4 linked regions of the Arabidopsis thaliana genome follow. The protein of the gene in region 4 interacts with the protein of the main gene of each other region in a pairwise test. Each region holds a gene or a part of one and is shown on either strand. Other genes may lie near its edges. The genes, in order: IDH-III, KCO1, HDA05 and GRF8.

Evidence for each region.
Region 1: the proteins of GRF8 (region 4) and IDH-III interact in a two-hybrid assay, tested with the Arabidopsis thaliana proteins (one study listed by BioGRID).
Region 2: the proteins of GRF8 (region 4) and KCO1 interact in a two-hybrid assay, tested with the Arabidopsis thaliana proteins (one study listed by BioGRID).
Region 3: the proteins of GRF8 (region 4) and HDA05 interact in a protein complementation assay, tested with the Arabidopsis thaliana proteins (one study listed by BioGRID).

Annotation. Positions count from the first base shown.
Region 1 is NC_003075.7:16,906,042-16,911,363, reverse strand, and holds IDH-III (isocitrate dehydrogenase III), read right to left. Parts: upstream 2,868-5,322; 5' UTR 2,781-2,867; coding exon 2,268-2,780; intron 2,182-2,267; coding exon 1,942-2,181; intron 1,819-1,941; coding exon 1,740-1,818; intron 1,666-1,739; coding exon 1,391-1,665; 3' UTR 1,156-1,390; downstream 1-1,155. Other genes in the region: AT4G35655 (RPM1-interacting protein 4 (RIN4) family protein), read right to left, coding at 403-609; SERAT3;2 (serine acetyltransferase 3;2), read left to right, coding at 3,387-3,638, 4,024-4,221, 4,325-4,384, 4,502-4,597, 4,687-4,711, 4,800-4,894, 4,982-5,148, 5,246-5,319. UniProt on the Arabidopsis thaliana protein: Performs an essential role in the oxidative function of the citric acid cycle.
Region 2 is NC_003076.8:22,528,775-22,534,271, reverse strand, and holds KCO1 (Outward rectifying potassium channel protein), read right to left. Parts: upstream 2,915-5,497; 5' UTR 2,836-2,914; exon of another isoform or gene 2,586-2,835; 5' UTR 2,555-2,585; coding exon 1,629-2,554; intron 1,545-1,628; coding exon 1,379-1,544; 3' UTR 1,150-1,378; downstream 1-1,149. Other genes in the region: AT5G55640 (Na-translocating NADH-quinone reductase subunit A), read left to right, coding at 349-406, 555-655, 738-1,028; AT5G55620 (uncharacterized protein), read right to left, coding at 3,594-3,899. UniProt on the Arabidopsis thaliana protein: Voltage-independent, large conductance and potassium-selective tonoplast ion channel. Regulated by cytoplasmic calcium and pH. Does not mediate slow-vacuolar (SV) ionic currents, but essential to establish VK currents.
Region 3 is NC_003076.8:24,565,636-24,573,293, reverse strand, and holds HDA05 (histone deacetylase 5), read left to right. Parts: upstream 1-2,302; 5' UTR 2,303-2,376; coding exon 2,377-2,579; intron 2,580-3,075; coding exon 3,076-3,277; intron 3,278-3,387; coding exon 3,388-3,534; intron 3,535-3,633; coding exon 3,634-3,746; intron 3,747-3,880; coding exon 3,881-4,092; intron 4,093-4,168; coding exon 4,169-4,245; intron 4,246-4,398; coding exon 4,399-4,569; intron 4,570-4,694; coding exon 4,695-4,778; intron 4,779-4,994; coding exon 4,995-5,228; intron 5,229-5,317; coding exon 5,318-5,511; intron 5,512-5,615; coding exon 5,616-5,742; intron 5,743-5,826; coding exon 5,827-5,891; intron 5,892-5,991; coding exon 5,992-6,157; 3' UTR 6,158-6,511; downstream 6,512-7,658. Other genes in the region: HDA18 (histone deacetylase of the RPD3/HDA1 superfamily 18), read left to right, coding at 1-25, 149-261, 360-571, 650-714, 846-1,016, 1,161-1,997; AT5G61050 (histone deacetylase-related / HD-like protein), read left to right, coding at 6,679-6,882, 6,967-7,160, 7,255-7,384, 7,467-7,531, 7,647-7,658. UniProt on the Arabidopsis thaliana protein: Responsible for the deacetylation of lysine residues on the N-terminal part of the core histones (H2A, H2B, H3 and H4).
Region 4 is NC_003076.8:26,147,490-26,153,101, forward strand, and holds GRF8 (general regulatory factor 8), read right to left. Parts: upstream 2,988-5,612; 5' UTR 2,767-2,987; coding exon 2,281-2,766; intron 2,010-2,280; coding exon 1,887-2,009; intron 1,315-1,886; coding exon 1,141-1,314; 3' UTR 1,078-1,140; coding exon of another isoform or gene 1,057-1,077; 3' UTR 893-1,056; downstream 1-892. Other genes in the region: AT5G65440 (uncharacterized protein), read left to right, coding at 4,526-4,561, 4,633-4,974, 5,055-5,203, 5,299-5,555. UniProt on the Arabidopsis thaliana protein: Is associated with a DNA binding complex that binds to the G box, a well-characterized cis-acting DNA regulatory element found in plant genes. Involved in the regulation of nutrient metabolism.

The sequences.
Region 1 (5,322 bases), on a different chromosome or scaffold from region 4:
TTATTTGCCCTGGGAACACAGAAACCGGCAGATCTCATATAATATTTGGCTGAATCCTGATTCATCCACTTTGGAGCAGAAGAGGGGTTTCTTGTCAAACAAGTAACTATTCGTTTTTAAATTAACTAAGACCAAGAAGAAAGATTATGATTGTTTTTGGAGGTGGCATTGCAAAACGTGCATTGTTGTAAAATCTGAACTAGTAGGTTTTCAAAATCTAGTCTTAAGCTTCAAACGAAACATAACATTAAACATTAAACATCAAACAAGATATACAAGAAACTATCTACTTTCTCGTCTCTGCAACATCTTATAAAGAGAAATGCTAAGCAAATGAGAAAAGGTTCTAAGGTAAGAGTTTCTCAATGCCATTCTCAAACGTTTTAAGAAATTTACAGGAAATCAAGAAAAAGTAAAACAGAGCCATTTCTTGGTTGGTTTAACGCCGTCTTGTTTTCTCTGTGAAGGTGCCTTGCTAGAGCTCCGACCTGTTTTTTTATCCTCGCCGGCTTTACTAAATATAACGGTGAATCCCTCTGCCGTCGCCGGATCATTCACATCCCATTCTCCGAATTTTGGCAAAGGCCTTGCGTCACTATTCGATGCCATTTCAATCTTCAGGATCAACAAATCAGAGCAAAATTTCTCAAAAACAAATTATTTTCTTCCTTTTATTGTTGTTCTTCTTTTTCAATGACTTCTATTCTGAGATCGTTCTAATTGATCAAAAGATGATGGACTCAGGGTGTATTTTATAGTTGGAAGATTTCAATAAAGCAGAAACAGAGAAGTTTTGTTATGAAATGTTCCTACGGAATGTACTCGTATGAAACACGGAGACAAGATATTTCTCTTTACGCATTTCTTCTTAAACATTCTGAGGTTCAAAATCTTTGGTCTTTGCGCGTCATACCCTGTAAAACCCTAATTATAGCAAAATGCTTCTTATCCATGACTGCTCTGTTTTCTTATTTGGTGCTACTGTTATCTTTGGTTCTCTACATGCTTGTTTAGTAATCAGAGACCTTATATAATATCCTCCTGGTCAATGAGTTCAACAAATCTAAATTTGTATCACATTTTCTTCAAGTCATTTATTATGCCTTTTTTAACAAGTAATTTGATTAGTGTTTTTACCTAATTTTGATGCAAAAAGAGTTCAAAATCTTGCTTGATAAACAACATTGCTTCTGTCTGTCCTTATTGATTTTATTTTATAACATAGAGCTCATGCTCAAACGTGAGATCGGATATTAATCAAAAAGAGAACAAAAATGAATCAAGAAACAAAAAATAGCAACGCAAAACAGAGAAAACCAACACTTTTCTCTTAGTTGAAATGAAAAAGACGAAAGAAGAAGCAAGCAGAAGCAGAGAAGCTCACATGGTTTCACTCAAGAGCTGCTATGACAGCATCAACAACTTCCTGCGTGGTACAATCTCCTCCAAGATCTTTTGTTCTATATTTTCCTTCTTTAATCACTTGTTTCACTGCTGTTTCAAGCCGATCAGCAAAAGTAGGAAACCGGAGATGTCTTAGCATCATAGCCGACGAGAGAAGTAGAGCCACCGGATTCGCTTTCTTCTGTTCCACCATCTTATCATTCCCCACATTCCCTGCTGATGCACCTTGCTCGAATATCGCATGTTCTGCACCAACATTCCCTGTCCCCAACAAACCCAAGAAACGTCATTTTACGAAAGATTATAACTGTAACTATTATATTTATTTGACAAACCTCCTGGCATCACTCCAGTGCCACCGGCTATTCCAGCCGCCGTGTTTGCTATAAGGTTACCATACAAATTAGGTGTCACCTGAAACAAACCAACAAAAAATATCCATGAGAGACATCAAAACAACATCAATGATGGTTTCATCGTCTGTCACATTTCAAAATGACTCATTTTGATTTGTAACTAGGAAAAGAAGAGCATTACCATGACATCAAATTGCTCAGGCTTGGCGACAAGCTGCATACAGCAATTGTCTACGATTATTTCATTGTAAGTAATCCCCGAATAATGTTTAGCAACCTCTCTACAAGATTCAAGGAAGAGCCCATCCGCAAGCTTCATAATGTTAGCTTTATGAACAGCAGTCACTTTCTTCCTATTGTTTAGATACGCATACTCAAATGCATATCTCGCTATTCTCTCAGAACAAAACTTTGTTATCACCTACACAAACAATTCAACAACATCATGTATACAAAAGGGATCACAATTTGGACTAAAAACAATCCCTATAATTATATATGGTTTACCTTAAGGCTCTCGACAACACCAGGAACAACCTCATGCTCGAGACCTGAGTACTCTCCTTCAGTGTTCTCTCTTATCACAACGATATCAACATTTTCGTGTCGCGTCACTAATCCAGGGACATTGATGCAATTGACAAGAGAAGCGAAGATATCGAGTTCTTTCCTCAATTGCATATTCAAAGAACTGACACCCCCACCAACAGGAGTCGCTAATCCACCTTTGAGACAAACCTTGTTTCTCTTCACAGACTCGATCACTTCTTCAGGGACTTTTCTCATGTTTCCTAGAACCTCGTATCTCTCGAAATGCACTGGCGCGTGCATCGCTTCCATGACCTGTTCCACCGCACCGGTCACCAAAGGTCCGATTCCGTCGCCGGGAATTAGGGTTACGGTTCGTGGAGCTCCATCTCCGGGTCTAGGCATGTAGGTGATGGATCGGGACAGTGATGTGAATGGAGAAGGAGGATTCGCCAGAAGGCGATTAAATATCGAAACGGATCTTCTCGCCATTGCTAGATTTAGCTTCTTTTAGGGTTTCAGAGCAACGAAGGTCGATTTCGTTTTCGGCGATTTACATGCAGCGTTTATGCCTTTGTCAGTTTTATTTTATTTCTTTGGCCAATCAGCTTTATTCCAAAAAAAATTATTTTGTTCAATCATTTTTTTGTAATTTCTAAAATAATATTTTGTAAAAAAATGAAAATTGTTTTATGATAATATAAAGAAATGTTTTATTGTAGCCTAAAGTTCACGTCCACTTCGTGTGTGGTACGTTTAAAGTAATATAGATAAAGGATACTTCCAAATAGTTTTGGATTCTCTTGCAATGGTGGTGGTATTAAGAACTTGGACTGAATCACGGTCACACGCATTACAAACAAGAGCAGAGAGAGAGAGACCACATCTGATTTCGCATGAAACATTCCAAAACAGTGAGGACAGAAACACAAGACTTCAGTTTTACTTTTTTTTTTCTTTTATCTTTTTGACTGTCGCTACTTCGATTCCAACACAATCAATCACTGTGTTTAAAAGGGTTTCTCAGTTTCCTTATCATTAACCTTTTTTTTATCATCTTCTCTACACTCTTCACCAATAGCTTCACTCTTTTTGGTCATGGCTTGTATAAACGGCGAGAATCGTGATTTTTCTTCCTCGTCATCTTTGTCTTCTCTTCCAATGATTGTCTCCCGGAACTTTTCTGCCAGAGACGATGGAGAGACCGGTGACGAGTTTCCTTTCGAGAGGATTTTCCCGGTTTACGCTAGAGGAACCCTTAATCCCGTGGCCGACCCGGTTTTGCTGGATTTTACCAATTCTAGTTATGACCCAATTTGGGATTCTATAAGAGAAGAAGCTAAGCTTGAGGTTTTCTCCTTATGCTCCATAATCATATTCTTATTATTGATTTATACGTTTTTCATATATGTGACTTCAATTCAACAAAGACAGAAACTTTGATATTGTTAATCAACTTCGATTTTCTACATTGAAAGGTTATGATAATGACATTCTTGTGTACCTTTTATATCAATCCGACAAAACCGTGGGGTCGAATTCTCACTAAATGCTTTCTCTGTCTCTTTAACTACTTGATTAAAGCTTTTAAATTTTTCTTGCTGTTACGTATTTCTCTCACCCGTCTACTTTTTCAGCGTCAATTTTTCATTAACTACACGAAGGACAAGTTAAGGAACAGAGTTTGTGTGTGTTTATGTTCCTTTAATGGTGAATATTGTTGTGTGTTTTACAGGCAGAAGAGGAGCCGGTTTTGAGTAGCTTCTTGTATGCTAGTATCTTGTCGCATGACTGTTTAGAGCAAGCATTGAGTTTTGTTCTAGCTAACCGTCTCCAAAACCCTACCTTGTTGGCAACTCAGCTTATGGATATATTTTGCAACGTTATGGTACATGACAGAGGTATTCAAAGCTCGATTCGTCTTGATGTTCAGGTAAAAACGCTATCTCGTATCGGTGAATCTTCCTTTTGACACTGATATTATTGTCTGAGAATGTGACTGCAGTGTAATGTTTTTTTTTTTTGGTCCATTGAAGGCATTCAAAGACAGAGATCCTGCTTGTCTATCGTATAGTTCGGCTATTTTACATCTGAAGGTAGTCTCTTAACCATCATAGTTGCTGATTTAAAGACAATAACATCTCTTACACCGATATAAAATGATTGCTAAGTGAGTTTTCATGTGTATTTTACCAGAATAGTTTGTTCCACAGGGCTATCTTGCACTGCAGGCGTATAGAGTAGCACATAAGTTGTGGAAGCAAGGAAGAAAACTATTAGCATTGGCACTGCAAAGCCGAGTAAGCGAGGTAAGAGTAACTTCTACAACTTCTTTGGTTACTGTTATAGTCTTGGTGTACAACGTTAACCTCTGATCCATGTCAATGGTTTCTCTCAGGTTTTTGGAATCGATATTCATCCCGGTAAAGATTTTAGATTCATAGCTAATAGCTTGTCTATGCTTTTACATCTAGCATCTGAATAACTTTGGTTTCTGTTTTTTTTGCTCAGCTGCAAGAATTGGGAAAGGAATATTGTTGGATCATGGAACTGGTGTGGTCATAGGTGAGACTGCTGTGATAGGCGACCGTGTCTCAATTTTGCATGTACAAATCCGTTCTCTAACTTCATTTCTCCAAAACTATAAAGAACTGTTGATGTTATAAATGCTAGCTTATATTTTCATGTTACAGGGTGTGACATTAGGAGGAACTGGGAAAGAAACCGGTGACCGCCATCCAAATATAGGCGACGGTGCTCTTCTTGGAGCATGTGTGACTATACTTGGTAACATTAAGATAGGCGCTGGAGCAATGGTAGCTGCTGGTTCGCTTGTGTTAAAGGATGTTCCTTCGCATAGGTATGAAACCACTGACATGCATCTAAATATCAATCTCGTTGAGCTTTTTTGTTTGAACATTGCTCAAATTGACATTTTCTCTCGGGCGTTTCTGAAGCATGGTGGCTGGAAATCCAGCAAAACTCATCGGGTTTGTTGATGAGCAAGATCCATCTATGACAATGGAGCATGGTG
Region 2 (5,497 bases), 3.6 Mb from region 4:
AACATTTTCGTCTAGGAGTTTCACGAATGAGTAGCTGACACGTGGCTGAATACCGACCATCGATAGTAGATTACAAAAGTATCCCTAACATCTCCTTCTCCGCCGTGTCAATCGCAAACAATCGAATCCGGATCCGATCCGATTCGCCTCAACACCATCATTATTTATCTGTTTCCCCCTTTTCCCAAGCTCTAACATTTAGGGTTTCGCGAAAAATCAATCAGGTGAAAAATAATCGAATTATTGTAAAATTGATACATAAATTCACATTCAAAAGCCAAAGAGCTGAGAAATTATTTTTTGTAAACTGTTGGTCCTTCGGAGAGTGTCCATGAACGTTAGTCTTCAATGGATACATCTGTAATGCAGACGAATCTTCCCAAGGTAGAAGACAATGATGAATGGGGTAAGTAATTTCGCTTTAATCGATTCAGTTGCATTTCTTTATTGAAATTAGGGTTCTTTCGTGTTTATGTGATCGGATTCAATCATTCAAATTTCTGTATCTTCTTGTGTAATTACAAATCTTGAGTCGATCATTTGATTGGTGGCAGACACTGATGGGTTTGTGATTCCGAGCTTGGAGATTGAAGAAGACAAGGTTAATAATAATAATGATTCAGAAGTTGAAACATCAAAACCTTCTTCTCCTAAGGTTAGTGATTGATTTCTTACGTACAAGACAAGTTTCAAAAAAATGTTGTTAACTCTTTATCTCTCATTGTATGATTTTGTAGAGTAAAGCTGAAGAAAACATCTACTTAGGACCACATGGAGCTCCTCCTTCGCAGCTACAAGATGGTGGTAGTAACACATCGAGCCGCAAGCAGCGGTTTAAGCAGATGCTCAAGGAAGCAGATCAGAAAATGAGCGGCTCTGGTCGAGAAAACAAAATGGCTAACTTAAGAGAGCTTGTAGGCGGGGGTGCAGGTGCAGAGAAAGGAACTAATATGGGAAAAGGTGTTTCAAGAGACTGGCTTGACCCTCATTGCCATGAATCTCAGTTCGAGAAACGACGACTTCCATAACGCGAGAAACCGCTATCTTTTGAAAATGTTTTGTATCAATCAAAATACCAAAAAAGTTTAAAGCAATAAAACAGTCTTCATACCCTGTCCTTTGAGAGAATCATCCATGAATTCTTGGTCATGGAGCATAACACTAGAGAGCTTCATATGTATAGATGTATGTAAAATTATACACTCAGCATCAAGAAACGATCAAAGAGTTAGAGTGTGGCATTACATTACAAACACAAACAGGAAAAAACAAACAAAATTTCGAAAAACTGTTCACTCTCTTCGGCTTTTTGTTGTGTGAAGGTATAACTAAACAAAGATTCTGATTCGTCTTCGCAAGATGATGATGATGATGAGGCTTACCTTTGAATCTGAGACGTGGTCTGAGCTAAAACGATGTCAGAAGTCGTGAGAGTTCCTGATTCATCGTAATCAAGTTGCTCGAACTCATCCATTATCCCAGAAATATCTTTCTCATCAATCTTACCCATTTCTTTCAGTTTATACACAATAAACTCTGCAGCTCTGCAACACACAATAGACAAAAAAAAAAGAATAAGAAGAGGAAGAAGGAAACAGAAGATAGAATATGTCTGATGTCTTTCTTACCCAACAACTCCATCTTCATCGAGATCAGCTGCTTCGAGATCATTGTTTGTGATTCTTCGCGTTAAAACCCATTTCACCAACGCCCTCTGTTTGTTTTCTGTATTTAGCTCAGCTACATAAAGGAAAAACTGAGCCAAACATATGCTGCTCGTCAAGATCCAAAACACAGCAAAAAGGCGTCCGGCTTCCGAGTTAAAGCTCTTATCTCCATAACCCAATGTTGTAACCGTGGAGCAGACGCAGTAGAAAGCTGAGATAACCGGCATTTTCTCAACCATTACAAGGAAAATCGTGCCAACAATGAAGAGGACTACAAGGACAAGGCATGTAGCATAGCATTTGTATCTCAACTTGTTAGTATGCAACTCCTTGAGAATGTCTGTTGGACCAAAGCTTTGACGCAAATGGAAAGCCCTAACGAGCAAAGCCTCTTGTTTCTCCACTAGATAATCCGCCGCTCGACTTAAGAGGTGACCAACGAGGACCATTCCCGAGAAGACGAAGGCACAAGCAAGTAGCCTTGAGGCGGAACTATTAGGGACAAGGTCACCGTATCCAACAGTTGTCATCGTTACTATACAGAAATAGAGAGCATCTACCACACCACTGGTTTTATGACCGGAGATCTGGTCTCTCACGAGGTAGAAACAGAGCGTACCAATGGTAAGATATAAAGCCAAGAACATGATCACTCGCCTGAGATTCGGGTTTAGATCACTGAACATTGGGATTTTACTCGGATGAGGAGGTGGTTCGTCGATTTTGACATCATCATTGTACATACAATCACCACGAGGAGCACTTCTAGAGCGACGCAATCTTCGTTTTCTTGAAGAAGAAGTTCTTGAGTTCAGGTTGAAATCTTGAGCCATGGTATCTATCTTCTCAGTGGGTAACAATGGCGTACGAGCTGCATCACTCGACATTTCTAGACTCAAACCAGATTAACTATGAGATCTGCACAGAACAATCAAATCTCATGTTTATGTTACGAAAACCATCGCCAAAATTGACATCTCCTGTTCTGAGAAATGAACATATGTATCAAAAAATTTGAATTTCGTAACAGAAACTTGTCAGAACTTAGATACAGATTTTGAGTTATAGCTAAAGATTAGACCTTTAGACAATGAAAAGATGAGTTTTGTGAGAGTAATCAATCAGACACAGAACACGAACTGAAGGAGGAAGAAGAATTGAGACATACCCAGGAAAGTAAGATCGAAATCAAAAGAAGCGGTGTTGTCGGATCTCGCAATTGGTCTTCATTGATGATGTTCTCACAGTTGGCCAATTCTTGTTTTTATTTTATTTTAATTATCTTCTTTTTTTTTGGTCAAAATTTATTCTCTTCAAATCCGATAATTTTGTTTTTATGATCTTCTTCATTTTCTTGATAGGATTTTTCATTAGTATCTTAGTATAAAAATGTTTTGTTTTGTTTTTTAAATGTTTTTTTTCATATAGAAGAATGTATGTAATGTCTTAATTTTCTAGTTAGTTTTCTATCCTTCTGTTTTTTTTTTGTGCAAATCTAGTAATTAGTTTTATATTATACACTCATAATCACAAGTAATGTACAAGCCAATAAGCCAAAATATCCAGCATGACGTCATGTTTAATCTATATCATACAATAATCTATATGTTTTATGTTAATGTCAATATGTTAAGATTTTTATAAGTCGATAAATCACATTTTTTTAGTGTTATACATGACATCAAAGATGTTATTAATGCACTCATATGATACATATATATGTGAAGAATTGCATACTTCAAAACATCCCCACACACAAAGAAATATAACACACACTAGTATTTGACATAGTTCTAAAACATTACTAAGTGATTGATATACATGGTAATTTGACATAATTTTAAAAACATTCAACCACTCGAGTATAGGCTCATTGATATGCATGTGGAGAGCGATATAAGATCATTCAACACCAACATAGACCATCTAAAGCTGATCAGGCCAGAGAAATGATTCAATTGCAAAAACCCTCTTGTCTTCAAGAGATCCTTCAAAGGAGAATCCATATTGTTTGAGGAGCAAGTCAAGGCGGAGATCATCCATAACTTCGTAATCAGACTTGGAGTATTTAGGGTAGTGAAGAGGGACTTGGAATCCACTTGGGAATTCTTCTTTCTTCATCATCTTTATAATTTTGTTGCGGGTGCTTTGGCAGTTGCTGGCTTGATCCATATGGTTCGAGTAGCCGAACATTTGGGTGAAAGCCGATGTAAAGAGCAATTTCATTTCCATTGTCTTGGTTGATTTTAAGATTTTATACAAAAAAGGAAAGAAAACGAAGGTTTGAAATAGAGAGAAAGAGTAGAGAAGAAGAAGAAAGAGAAGCAAGGAAGCTTAAGACAAAATACCAAAAAAGGAGAAGCTTGAGACAAACTCTAAGGCAAGCTCGATGTTTGGTTATAGTAAAGGCGACCAAAGACTAGTATATATATAGAGGCAGGCAGGTAGGTCAGTAAGACAATTATTATTTGTCTTTTCGACATGATAATCGTCATTTGAATTTTATTTTTATCATCAAACTATAGTATGTAATATAAGATGTACTAGAAATTATTTGTTTTTGTTTTTTTAATTAAACAAAAGTATGATTATAACGAGTAGTTCTTGTTCTAAACCAAACCAGTAAACCTTTTTCCTTTTAATGAAAAAAAAGTATGATCATAAATAACAAAATGTGAGAACGACGGCTGTGAGCTACATGCACCAGGAAACGCATCGGCCAATGATGGTTCATGCATTCATGCACTCATTATCTTAGGTGGGGACAAGTATAAAACAGTTGTGGTGTGCAAGGAGAAAGTAGGTGAAAGTATTTAATATTTATATTAACTAAAAATAACATACTATGTTTTTGAGGTTATATGAGTTTTGGTCTTTCTTTTTAATTTAAAACCATTTTTATTGGCATTTTTTGCGGAATACCTTGTATATTCTAGGAAAAAACACTTTTTATATAAAACAGTTAAGATTATGATATAATTAACAAATTTTTAATAAAGAGAGAAATTAAGAAAGAAGAAGAAAAATGGCCATGATAAATACAGTAGTTGGTTTTACTATTCGGTTGGTGATCCTTTTGTTCATTTTGATAGGTATGAATCTCACCAACGCTTCCATATACTTTTTTCAGTTTTGTTCAAATCATGAATCCATAAGTTTAACATCTTAATTAAGAAAATTACCTATTAAATTCAATATGTCAAAAGCATGCAAAAGGAGAGATATTCTTTTTTTGCTTTGATTTTTAAAGTTTGATGTATATGTTTAGATTTAACAATACAAAACTTTTTTTAAAAGAAAATAATATTCTCTTCATCCCACAAAGATAAGTTTTCTAGAAATTTAACATTCTTTAAAAAATATTTTATAATGACAATTTAACATTCTTCTAATTAACTAACAAGAACACCCAATCTTTTATGTTGCTTTTTATTTCTTATGTATTGTTCTGTTCCTTCCTCTCTCACTTTATTCCATCCTCTGTTTTGTGGATTGTATGGTATCGGGATACTAGAGGCTAGACAACTTAGGAGAATATATTTTCTGTAACAATTTGCTAATTTTCTTATTACCTAAGCTCTGTTTTGTGTAACAATTTGCTAAACAATTTTTTTGTGTGTGGATTACACTCATACAACAGAAATGGGTGTGCAAATTAATAATAAGCATGTTAAACTCTACCAATTTTGACTCCCACGATGAATTTTACCGGTTTACTTTTTCAGGGTGTTGAAAACCATGCATTCATGCATTCATTATCTTAGGTGGGGACAAGTATAAAACAGTTGTGGCTTGGTGTGCAAGGAGAAAGTAGGTGAAAGTATTTAATA
Region 3 (7,658 bases), 1.6 Mb from region 4:
TGCTAGTTTTTTACTAAACGAAAGAGTAATGACTTCTTTTGACTTTTGTGATGCTTTTAGTATCTCTTACTTGCTCTCAAATTTCTTTGGTCACATTCCTTTGGTGCGTACGTTTGTTCTCATGTTATGCGGCATTAATCGAATGCAGCCTGATCTAGATGTCAAGAAAATTCTGATTGTCGATTGGGATATCCATCACGGAAATGGTACACAGAAGATGTTCTGGAAAGATTCTCGCGTACTAATATTCTCTGTTCATAGGTATGTATTTGCAACCTCTGTCTATTCTTCTTTCCAAACTACTTTTTCACATGATCTTTGTTGAGGTTTAAAGTGACTGGAAATGCATTTGTGACTAGGCATGATCACGGAAGTTTCTATCCATTTGGCGATGATGGAGACTTTAACATGGTTGGCGAAGGTCCAGGTGAAGGGTTTAACATTAACGTTCCATGGGAGCAAGGAGGATGTGGAGATGCAGACTATCTTGCCGTATGGAACCACATCTTGATCCCTGTGACCAAGGAATTCAAACCAGATATTATTTTGCTTTCAGCTGGATTTGATGCAGGTTTGTATGGTCTAACCATTTGTTTCAAGGCTTTGTGACGGTAAGCTGTGTGTAATCTTTTCAACTTCTTCTTAACAGCTATTGGTGATCCGCTTGGGGGTTGTTGTGTTACCCCATATGGATATTCAGTTATGTTGAAGAAGGTTGGTGTTGAAGTGAACTGCCTCTTTTCTCCATTGTTTCTATTATGCGTACCATGGCTTCTCTACCATTGAAAATAACAAAGCTACATAATTTTACTTGGATATGACATCATTTAATTGGTTTCTCTCAGCTGATGGAGTTTGCACATGGAAAGATAGTGCTGGCATTAGAGGGAGGATACAATCTTGAGTCATTGGGAAAGTCTTCACTCGCATGTGTCCAAGTTTTGCTTGAAGACAAACAAATTCATGGTTCATCTGAAACATACCCATTAGAATCTACACGGCGTGTCATACAAGCGGTATGGCTCTATATAACCCTAACAGTCTGAAATTTTGTATGAATTGGCTACGATTTCTCTTTTCAGCTCAGTTCTTGTGTCATAAATATTGTATATCGCCTATGTTACTAATTGACAAAGCTCATCTGTTTCTTGTGGGTTTAGGTACGCGAGAGACTATGCACATATTGGCCTTCACTTGACGCGTCAATGGCGTCTAATGAGAATTTAAAGAACCCAAGTGCAGAAAGAAACTCCGCTGACGCCCTCCTTCGTGAAGTGGAAGAGTTAAAGTCTCTAATGGCTGCCCGAGATGGAGAACTGGAGGCAAGGAGAAAAGAGTTAAAGGCCAAAAATAAGGAGCTAGAAGCGAACGAGAAGGAGCTAGAAGCGGGACTAATGTTGATTCGCGCTCGGGAGGATGTAATCTGTGGTCTTCATGCAAAAATAGAGAGTTTGCAGCAGGAGCGAGATGAGGCGGTAGCGAAAGCTGAACGCATAGATAAGGAACTCCAAGAGGATAGGGCAAGAAGCCAGGAGTTCAAAGAAGACACAGAGTTTTGCTTGAGTACGTTAAGGAGGGAGAAGGAGCTTGCCATCATGGCCAAAAATAAGGACCTAGAAGCGAAAGAGAAGGAGCTAGAAGCGCGGCTAATGTTGGTTCACGCTCGGGAGGATAAAATTCATGCCAAAATAGAGAGGTTGCAGCAGGAGCGAGATGAGGCCGTAGCAAAAGCTGAACGCATAGATAAGGAACTCCAAGAGGATAGGTCAAGAAGCCGAGTTGGGAATGGATCTTTTGCCTTTTCTCAGGAGTTCTATGAAGACATGGACTTAGACGAGCTCGAACCTCTGTCTCCGGAGTTCAATGAAGACATGGACTCGGAAGAGCTTGAACCGTTTCAGGTCATCAAGAAAAACATGGAGCGTTCCCACAAGAAGTTCATAAAAGATATGGAGTGTATCAAGTTTATCGCCAGTGAGAGAGCCAGGGTACTTTAGGTTGGGAGCTTGAGGCCGTAGCAGAAGACTACCACAAGTTTCGCGAGATGGTTGATAAGCTCGGGAAGAGCAACATATACCCTTCTTAGAAAGTACAATGGTGTTTCATTGTAACCACAGAACCTTTTTGTGATTGTAAACCAACTGTGTCGTGTCAGACTTTGATTGGTTGCGATACTTGGTTTCCCAATTTCCCTCCAAAGAATCTCCAAATTGGTCAAACTCTCAAACCTAAAAAAAAAAAAGGAGAGAATGAAAAAAAGAAAGAATTGAAAAGTAAAAAATACTTGGAAGCTTTAGAAGCTGAGAGCAAAGACTTGACCTTTTTCACTTCCTTCTCACTGATCGTCGAACAATAAGGCCGTCGCATCTCCCAGTTATGGCTATGGCCGGAGAATCTTCCGGCAAAAAAATTGGAGACTGTGACGGTAAAGTCGCGGGGAACAGACAGCGAAAGGTGGGTCTTATTTACGACGAGACGATGTGCAAACACGACACACCTGACGGCGAGGATCACCCTGAGTGTCCCGACCGCATCAGAGTTATCTGGGAGAAGCTTCAGCTCGCCGGAGTTTCTCAAAGGTTCATACTTTCTCTCTTCTTCGTGCGGCTTTGTTGTTTGTTTGATAATATAAGCCCTAGAAAATGCTCAAATTTAGTCAAATTGGGTACTTTCTGATCCTGTCAGCTGAGAAACTGGTCTCAATTTGTTCTTCCTTGTTCGGTATGAAATTTACTTTTCTCAATTTGAATTGTGCATTTCATAGAATCAAAAGGTTTGTATGCTGCTCAATTTTAACGGTAACCCTTCATAAATTTGCTACCTTTTCGTTATGTTCGGTCTTGTGTTCGAGTTATTTCCTCCATGTCTGTTTTATAACCCTCTCTGATATCAATTTTATATTTTTCATATTTGTTTGAATTTCACTCATAACATTATTAATTAGAGTAATGTGGCAGCACATTAGTTAGGGAAGGTGGAATCTAGTCTTTGAGGTGTGTATCCATCACGATTTGTTTTTCGATTCGGATGAATTGGCCTGCTATGTATTGACGATCTTGGTCTTTTCTTTTGCAGATGTGTGGTTCTTGGTAGTAGCAAAGCAGAAGATAAGCATCTCCAATTGGTTCACACAAAGGACCATGTTAATTTAGTTAAGAGTATTAGCACAAAACAGAAAGATTATCGGAGAAACAGGATTGCTTCACAGTTGAATTCGATTTATCTGAATGGAGGTTCATCTGAAGCCGCATATCTTGCAGCTGGTTCTGTTGTAAAGGTAATAATACTAGTTGATTTGTTTCTTTTTACAATAGGAGGATACATTAGAAACTGTTAGAATGATTTGATTGAATATGGGGTAACAACATTTTTCTTTCAACTTGACAGTTGGCAGAAAAAGTTGCAGAAGGAGAGTTAGATTGTGGTTTTGCTATTGTCAGGCCCCCAGGGCACCATGCTGAGGCAGATGAAGCCATGGGTTTTTGTTTATTCAACAATGTTGCCGTTGCTGCTAGTTTTTTACTAAACGAAAGAGTAAGGACTTGTACTGTTTGCTTTTAATTACTGTCAAATTCTTTGGTCACATTCCTTTGGAGTGCGTGTTCCCAACTTCTTTGCTTTTCCTGAATGCAGCCGGATCTAGGGGTCAAGAAAATTCTGATCGTTGATTGGGATGTCCATCACGGAAATGGTACCCAGAAGATGTTTTGGAAAGATCCTCGTGTACTATTTTTCTCTGTTCATAGGTATGTAATTGTGACCATTGTTTACTCTTCTTATGATGTCGCTTGTCATGATTTAAGGAGCCTACTTTTTACTCTATTACCCCTTTGCTTGATTTTTACGCTTGGAAAGTAACTGGAAATGCATTTTTGGTTAGGCATGAGTATGGGGGTTTCTATCCAGCGGGTGATGATGGCGATTATAACATGGTTGGGGAAGGTCCAGGTGAAGGGTTTAACATAAATGTTCCATGGGATCAAGGACGATGTGGAGATGCAGATTATCTTGCTGCATGGGACCATATCTTGATTCCTGTGGCGAGGGAATTTAACCCGGATGTTATTTTTCTTTCAGCTGGATTTGATGCAGGTAAACATGGTTTAAGCATTTTTTTAAGCTATGTCTTGTTCAGAGGTGTGTAACCTTTTCAAACTCCTCTTAACAGCTATTAATGATCCGCTAGGGGGTTGTTGTGTGACCCCATATGGATATTCAGTTATGTTGAAGAAGGTTGGTGTTGAAGTGAACTCCCTCTTTTGTCCATCATTTGTATTTGCGCTCCAGGGGTCTCCATCATTGAAAATAGCACTTCTTGCTTTAGCTGGTTGTTTGTCCCTGAGCTAAATAATAGAAACTTGCATTTAATATCATTCTGTTTCTCCAATGTTCTCTCAGCTGATGGAGTTTGCACAAGGAAAGATAGTGCTGGCGTTAGAGGGAGGGTACAATCTTGACTCAATTGCAAAGTCTTCACTTGCATGTGTCCAAGTTTTGCTTGAAGACAAACAAATTCAAGGACCTCCGGAAGCATACCCATTCGAGTCGACATGGCGTGTCATACAAGCGGTATGGCTCTATATCATCCTATCTTTTAACTTTCTTATTTCACAATCTGAAACAACCTTCCATAAATGGGCTGTAGTCCTCATGTTACTAGTTGACCAAAACTCATCTGTTTCTTGTGGGTTTAGGTGCGCAAGAGGCTATGCACATATTGGCCTTCACTTGCAGATGAATTATCGTGGAAGCTAATTAATCAGAAAACTCCTACTCCAGTTGAGCACCCTTCTTTTTGTCTACCATTTCAGTTGTTCATTGTTCATCAGAGAGCGTTTCCTTGCCAGATCGGATTTAGAAAAACCTCACTATTTTTAGCAACCACTTCTTAACTTCTTTGTCTCTATACAAATTTTCCTTTGCTTGATCTTCTTTTTAGGCGACAGACTCGGTATTTCTTATCACATAATTTCTTTCTTATTTGTTCACTATAGATCATCCTTATCTCAAGCTCCGACTCTGAAACTGAAGACAACGCCCAAGGACTCCTGGATCAAATGTCGAAACTCAGCATTGAAAACCCTCAAGGTACACTACTTGAAAACCACCAAGTAGAACCTGCATCTACATCTTGGAGAGCTGATCTCGCAAAGGTTGACGTTTGGTATGCCTCTTTTGGATCCAACATGTGGAAACCAAGGTTTCTTTGCTATATTCAAGGGGGACAGGTAAGTAACCTGTTTTGTTTTGTTTTCGGGGTCGAGTCTGGGCTTTGGTCTAACTTGACACATCTATGGCTGTTTGTGTTTATTTTTAGGTCGATGGATTGAAAAAGGTATGTGTTGGCTCAATGGATAAAAGTCCACCAAAGGAAACAGTGTGGGAAACATTTCCACATAGATTGTTCTTTGGCCGTGAATCTTCAGTTGGTTGGGGTGTAGGAGGAGTTGCTTTCACCAACCCCCTTGCTAATCTCATTGATCAAACTCACATGTGTTTGTACCGTATCACGTTAAGTGTACCACTCTTCATCGCAGTTTCCGTTCACTTTCCCTATTTTATTCATTTGGTGATCTTCTCTACTTATTCACTATGGATGTTATTTTTGTGAACAGGCTTGAGCAGTTCAATGACGTTCTGTCTCAAGAAAATGGTTTGAATGTGGATTCAGATTCTCCGGTCTTTGATCTAGCTGCTTTGCAGTTAGTAGATAACAAAGGATCCATTTTAGAAGCTCCTTTGGTTAGTCAGATAACAAATGTTGATTGATACGCTTATAAAACATGTAATAATCACACTTATACTCGTTTATTGACATTTTTACAGAATAGTTGGTATGGAAATGTTGTCTGCTTGGGAAAAGAACGCGACATTCCTATACTTACAATGACGTAAGTTTTCATCATTCTTTTTCTTTTGCTGCTCATAAACCGAGTTAAACAGCTTTCATTTTTTTTTTCCTGAGGTTTCTCAATAACTTTGTGTTTGCAGTTGCACGCTTTCCGCTGTTGAGAAATTCAAATCCGGTGAGATCCCTATAAGACCTCCTGCAAAAGCTTATGCCAACACTTTAATAAGGGGACTTGTGGAAGGAGGAAGATTATCTAAAGAAGAAGCTGAGGCTTACATAGACAAGGCTGTGTCTAAACCTCTCTAGTGTATAATTATTTACTCAGAAACCGCCCGTTTGAACACGATTTGGAGCTTCGGGTTTCTGAGTTATTCAATTAGGATAAAAACCACAAGTTTAGGAATATTGTGAGACCTTTGAATTTGTCTTTTGAAAGAGAGGACTGTGTCCTCTGTTAGCTGTGTTGTGCTTGCTCCCTAAGCAAACTCTCAATGTATTTTAGTTATCTTCGGGTTTTAGGCTTTACCAAGAAGCTGTATTCGGTAAATGTATTAAAGAACCCTCCAAACTGCTTTATATTGACCGGAGAGAAACATTCTTATTCTTCGGAATGGTACTTTGAAGTTTGAAGAGTTATTTTAAAAAAAGATTTAACAGCACTGTGAAGAGTTCTGGTCAAACAAACCTATTTAAAAAAAAGAGATTGGAAAACATGTATAAATAAAAATTGAAACGTAAAAATACTTTGAAGCTTCAGAAGCAAAGATTGGACCATTTCTCTTTTTTCTCCCTGCTCGTCGAACGATAGACTCTCTCATCTCCCGCATATGGCCATGGCCGACAAAAAATATGGAAACTGTGACGGTAAAGTCGCCGGGAAAAGCCAGCAAGGTACACTAGTTGAAAAGGAGCAAGTAGATACCGCTTCTACATCCTGGAGAATTGATCTCGCAAAGGTTGACGTTTGGTATGCCTCTTACGGATCCAACATGTGGAAACCGAGGTTTATTTGCTATATTCAAGGGGGACAAGTAAGTAGCCTTGTTTCGTTTCTTTTTGGAGTCTGAGCTTGTGTCTTAATTGACACATCTATGGCTGTTTGTGTTTATTTTCAGGCCGAGGGAATGATAAAAGCATGTGTCGGTTCAATGGACAAAAGTCCACCAAAGGAAATAATGTGGAAAACATTTCCACATCGATTGTTATTTGGCCGTGAAACTTCAATGTTTTGGGGTGTAGGAGGAGTTGCTTACACCAATCCCCTTACTAATCTCAATGATCAAACTCACATGTGTTTGTACAGAATCACGTTAAGTTTCTTCATCTCCGTTTCCGAGTTTTCTCTTTTCATATATCTGATCTTTTCTACTTATTCATTATATGGTTGTTGTTTTCGTGATCAGGCTTGAGCAATTCAACGACCTTCTGTTTCAAGAAAATGAGTTGAACGTAGATTCTGATTATCCGTTCTTTGATCTAGCTGCTCTGCGGTTAGCAGAGAAGGAAGGATCCATTTCACTTCAAACTGCTTCGGTTAGTCAGATAACAGATGGTTATTTAATAGGAACATGTAGTAGTAATCACACTTGACCCCTATATTGACATATTTTTACAGGATAGTTTGTATGGGAATGTTGTCTGCTTGGGGAAAGAAGGCGTCATTCCTATACTTACATTGACGTAAGATTTCATCATTCGTTATTCCTTTGCTAGCTCAGAAACAGAGTACTTAAACTGCTAAGCGGATGCTCTCTTTCAACTTTCATTTTTTTCTCAATAACTTTGTGTTTTGCAGTTGCACGCTTTC
Region 4 (5,612 bases):
GAAGATGACAAACACAGCAATTAACAGAGAAATCTTCTAATGGTAAAGGGAAAACTAGAGGAATTAATTATTAGAGCAGAGACTTTTACCTTTATATGCCTTCAAAAATTCGTTTCTCCCTCGGCTAATGAGCATTAAGTTCGAGTGAGAACGAGAACTCAAGTAGCAGAACAGAAGAGAACAGAACTAAAAGAACAAAAACAGAGTGTGTTCGACATTTGTAAGAATATAAACTGAATAAGAGAATTCAGATTTCTGAACGAAGAAAGGAGTACTTATAGACTCATAATCTGAATTTCTTACAAAAAAAATATTACATCAAACGGTCGAAAAATGTTACCGTTTCACAACGTTCATAAAAAATGTTACCGTTTCACAACGTTCATATTTTCCTACTCTCAACTCTCAAGTCAAATCAATATAGGAAATCGTAATTACGCTCAAGACTCTCAGGTAAAATATTATTTGTTTTTTTCATTTAACAGTTGTATTATATCTCTGTAATCTCATGAAAATTTGAATCGTCATCACGCATTTACTTGTCTTCCATTGATTTATGAGTCTTCTATAATGATCACTCTTGATGATTTAGGTTGTCTAAACTCCGATTTTTTTTTTTTTTTTTTTTTGTTTCAGCTACTTCTCCGATTTTTAATACGAGTTTCAATTATACATAATACTACTACTAGAAAGCAAATTCTTGAAAACAACTGAACTGAAACCAAACCGTTAACTTGACCACTCATAAGCGAAATCATCTAAAACGCTACACTAAGCGTTTCATCAGTCTCGAGGAACTCACAAACCAAGCTAAGATATTGTTACTTTGTTTGAAATATAAAATTTTGAGAAGAAAAGAAGCAAAGATGAGGATAAATTACCAAACAAAAACAGAGTTGATACAGAGCAGCAGATAACACCAAAGCTGTGCACATAATCTGTCATAAAAAAACAAACTTTTCTTTTCGACAAGTTTTACAGCAAAGGAGGTTGAACTCAGATTTTCGGTTACGGTTGCAGGTACATTACATAACCGTCTTTTCTTCCATTAGACCTTCAGGCCTCATCCATCTGCTCCTGAATAAAGCAGTCGATCATTGAGTTTTGGGGTGTTATTATCCGAATAATCTTATAAGACTATCAATATGCGAGTTTCTGATGATGCAATTGAATATGAAAGTATAGAATTGGGCAAACCTGCATATCGGAGGTCCAAAGGGTTAGATTGTCCCTTAGCAACTGCATGATGAGAGTACTGTCCTTGTATGACTCCTCTCCCAATGTGTCCAGCTCAGCAATGGCTTCTTCAAAAGCCTAGAGGTGATGAATCCAACAAGAACAAGTTAGAAATGCGATGATAAGATGAGCTTTAATAGTCTTATAGAATCTTGTATATGTGATGCATGAGATGTTCCGGATTCAATATGCACCAAAACCCCGATCAGATTCTACACAATCTCGTATGCATAATGTATGAGATATTGTGGTTCTAAAGTCTTGTCATTTTAAGAGATTCTACTGACAAAAGGAATAATTTGGTTAATGTGAAGCGTTAGTCAAAAAAGTTATATCAAAAGAGGACTTTGCAGAATGTCTTTTTCTTTAGAATCTCTGTTTATTAAAAAGAAGTGGGTCCGTTCAGAAAGAAGAAAGAGTTACTTTTTATAAACAACTTGTCTATTTCTGGTAAAGGTTTCAAAATTCCTTCAAATCAACCCAACACAATGAATACAAGATGGGGCCAATAGGAATAGTAAAACAAGTGGTCAAGTTAGTAACTCAAAATGCAAATTACACTCTCCCTAACCAAACTTAAGACAATGATGATCAGACAGAGAAACTCTACTTGAAACAAACATGCAGTATAGTGGATGAAGAAAGAGTACCTGTTTCGCCATGCTACAAGCTTTCTCTGAAGAGTTGAGAATCTCGTAGTAAAACACTGAGAAGTTAAGAGCCAAACCAAGCCTGATCGGATGTGTAGGTGCTAGATCAGCAACTGCAACGTCCTTCAATACAAAAACCCACGAATGAGCAAAAATACATATTTTCAGAACAATTATATATTACTAAGACATATTAGGGAAGCAATTGATCTTAAGCCCAAATAGTAAAAGTTGACTACTTCTAACGATAGGATCAATACAATAGCTAGATTCGAGACCAATTTACTTATTATGAGACAACTGATTACAGATTAGCTAATTGAAGTAATCTCAGAAATAGGGTTTTAGCTCCACAACAGGATCGATTCAAGGATTTAGGGAATCAAAGATATACCTGAGCAGCTTTGTAAGCGATCATAGTATCTTCAGCAGCAGTTTTCCTCTCATCACCAGATTTAAACTCAGCCAAATAACGATGATAATCTCCTTTCATCTTCAGGTAAAAAACCTTAGACTCACTGGCAGTAGCTGAAGGAATTAGATGCGAATCAAGTAACCTGAGAATCCCAGAACAGATCGAAGAAAGCTCAGTCTCAACTTTAGATCTGTAATCCTTAACAAGCGACACGTGTTCTTCGTTCTTCCTGCTCTCTTCCTTTTGCTCAATCGAAGACACGATTCTCCATGCCGCACGAAGAGATCCAATCACGTTCTTATACGCGACCGAGAGAAGATTCCTCTCTTCTACGGTCAGCTCACCGGCCGGTGTAGCTCCACTTACGAGCTGTTCCATGAATTGAACCATCTCTTCGTAACGCTCGGCTTGCTCGGCGAGCTTCGCCATGTAGACATATTGATCTCTGCTTAAGGTCGTCGCCATTAGAGAAGAAGATCTCGCTTTTTTTTTCGATTTCACCGGAAAATTTTGAAATCGGAGGAAATTTCTGGAAGAAAAAAAGAAATTGAGAAGAAGAATAAAAAGCTTCAAAGCCGAGTCATAATGAGCTGTAAAAGGAAATTCTCTTCACTCGCGCGTGATTAACACACTCTGATAAACGACGTCGTTAGTTGAAATAAGGATTAACAGCGTGAAACCCACGTTGAGTGTACGAGGCGCGTGGCTAGGTTTCGGTTTTTTTGATAAGAGCGAGTGAATGGACGATAATAATTTAGTGCGTCAGCTTCCCCAACTAGTTGACACTGTTCAAGGTCAAATGTTAGAATACGGGCTTTTGATTAGGCTTTAGATGGGCTTTTTGAAGCCTGTTAAAGCTATTACCTTGCTGGCTAAGCATATGCGTTTTCGGCGTGACCTGGACACAACTAATGTGGTCGGAGAAAAGGCATATGAAGACAAGAAAAAGTTGTCCAAATTCTTTCTTTCGTTGATATTAATTTTTCTTTTGGTCAATACTCATATTCTTTAATTTCTTATATTGTTGATTAAAGAAAATTAATTATTTTCATTTTCCAATACTTTAAATTTAAAAGACCGGATCAAATTAATTGAATTCGTTTTTTGTGGGTTTTTATTTGTTGATTCATTGTAAATTTCAATAAATGAGAATTGATGAAAATTATGCTATATTAATTTGATTAGTCAAATGAGATAATTGAGATCCGGCAGGACATTTGTTTGGCATGAAAAACAAAATAATAAAGAGTTGGTTAATCAAATGCGACCAAATCATTAGATCGAAAAATCTGAAGAAATCGATTACTCATGTTTTTAATACTGGAAAGTTGTTTAGATTATTTGGGTTAACAAAAATCTGTATACACTCGTAGTTCTTACTAATTTATAACAAAACCTAAATTCTCCAAAACTAATGTAATGCAAATTGATTCTCTGATAGACGCACCGTCACGCGCGCATAACGTTGCCGTTATGGGAGAAAGAAAGGGCGTATCTTCACTTGCCACGTCAGTTTTACGCTAAGCGTAATAAAAGTCGCCGTCACCGTTAATTGACGTCTCCATCCAACGCCGCTCTTCTTCTCCGCTCTCACCGTATATATTTTTTTCCTATGGTGGCGCAATTTTTACTAAACTTACATAAAAAAAAAGGAAGATTAAATAAAAAAAGAGAAAGAAATATAAGAGCTTCCTCAATCGATCTTCCATTTTTCTTCTTCTTCATTGTGAAATTTGAGTCCAATGACTGTCACTGGTCGAATTTTCCACCTGTAGTCAATTTGAAGAAATTTAACCAGTTTGTTCTACTGGAAAAATTTCTGGTTTCACACTTGTGTTGACTCTTTCACTGGAAAAAAAGAAACGAAAAAACTCCGAAGAGTCTTCTCTGGGCAGTGTAAGTAAGCTAATGCATTAACATTTTTTGGCATTGAGAAGTAGATCGATTCTTCAATTTTGTGAGTTTCCGTTCACGATTTCGCTTTCTTTCATGTGAATTTCGTGAAAGAGAGAAAAAGTAATTCTCATCTTTCTTGCTACATTCTCTTTTTGCCGTTTTCACTAGAATTTCGCTTTTGTAGCCTTCGATTCGTTTGATTTCGTTTGATTTCGTTTCAGTTGCTATGTTTTAGGGATTTCATTATAGAACTGAGATTTGATTGTTGAATGTGAATGAAAATTTTGATAATTTTTCTTCTGAAATTTAGGTTAAAAGGTAAGGAGCAATGTTCAGGGAAGCTGGCTTAAGAAACATAGGAGAGGTACGAACAAAAACTTTATCTGCATTTTTCGATGTTGTTTGATTTTGCTGTAACTAATGCTTGTTTTGTAGGATGTTGATTCGAGGTGGACGATTGGTAATCGGAAATTGGATGCTAAGTCTGTTCCCAATGCCAATTCTGGTCATGGTTTTGGATTCAGGAGTGCTCCTCCATTGTCTTCATCAATTAAACCCGTGAGAGGTAATAACAATGGTGGTTCAAGTTCAGACATGGACATTGCTTCTGATTCAGATGAAGAGATATTCGAGAGGCAACACTCTCCTCAAGATTATAGAATTCATCTTGGTTTGCCTCACGTCGCAGCTCAAAATGGACTTGGACGTAATGGTGCTAAGGTCTTTGGTGCTGCTGATGATTTATCTGACTCAGCTACTAGCACTGAAGTTTCATATGTACTTACTTTTTACCCCCTTGTCTCTCGTTTTCCTTTACCGTTTCTAAATATGTTCTGATTTGATTATCATGTTTACAGGAAGCAGAAGCTTGTGGTGTGCGGAACAATATATCTTCACATAATGAATTTGAAAGACGAAATGTTGAGGCTGGAACTTCAGGAAGGACTCTGAACGGGACAAGCACTTCAACAAGTTCATTGCCTCGTTTCCCCACCTTTCATGCGAGGTTTGAGTTACATTGCTGACTTAGATTTTGCTTTCTTGTTTTTTTAATCCTCTGTGATTATTCATTCCATCATTTTTTGTGTGGTTTGAATGCAGTGAGCAAGGTCCATGGTCTGCGATGATTGCCTATGAAGCCTGTGTACGGTTATGTCTTCATTCATGGTCAACGGATAGTGTCAGCGAGGCTTCTTACTTCCTCAACAATGAATGCACCATAATGCGGAATGCATTTAGTTTGCAGAGGTTTTTCCTTCATTCTGAAGAAGAGTTACTGGGAAAGGGACCTTCTGAGTTGGTTACTGAGACGTCTGTTCCAAAATCGAAGAAGACTATTGGAAAAATTAAACTCCAAGGTATACACATTTGTATCTTTTTTCCCTTCCACTGTATTTTACCACTTGTAGAAATCG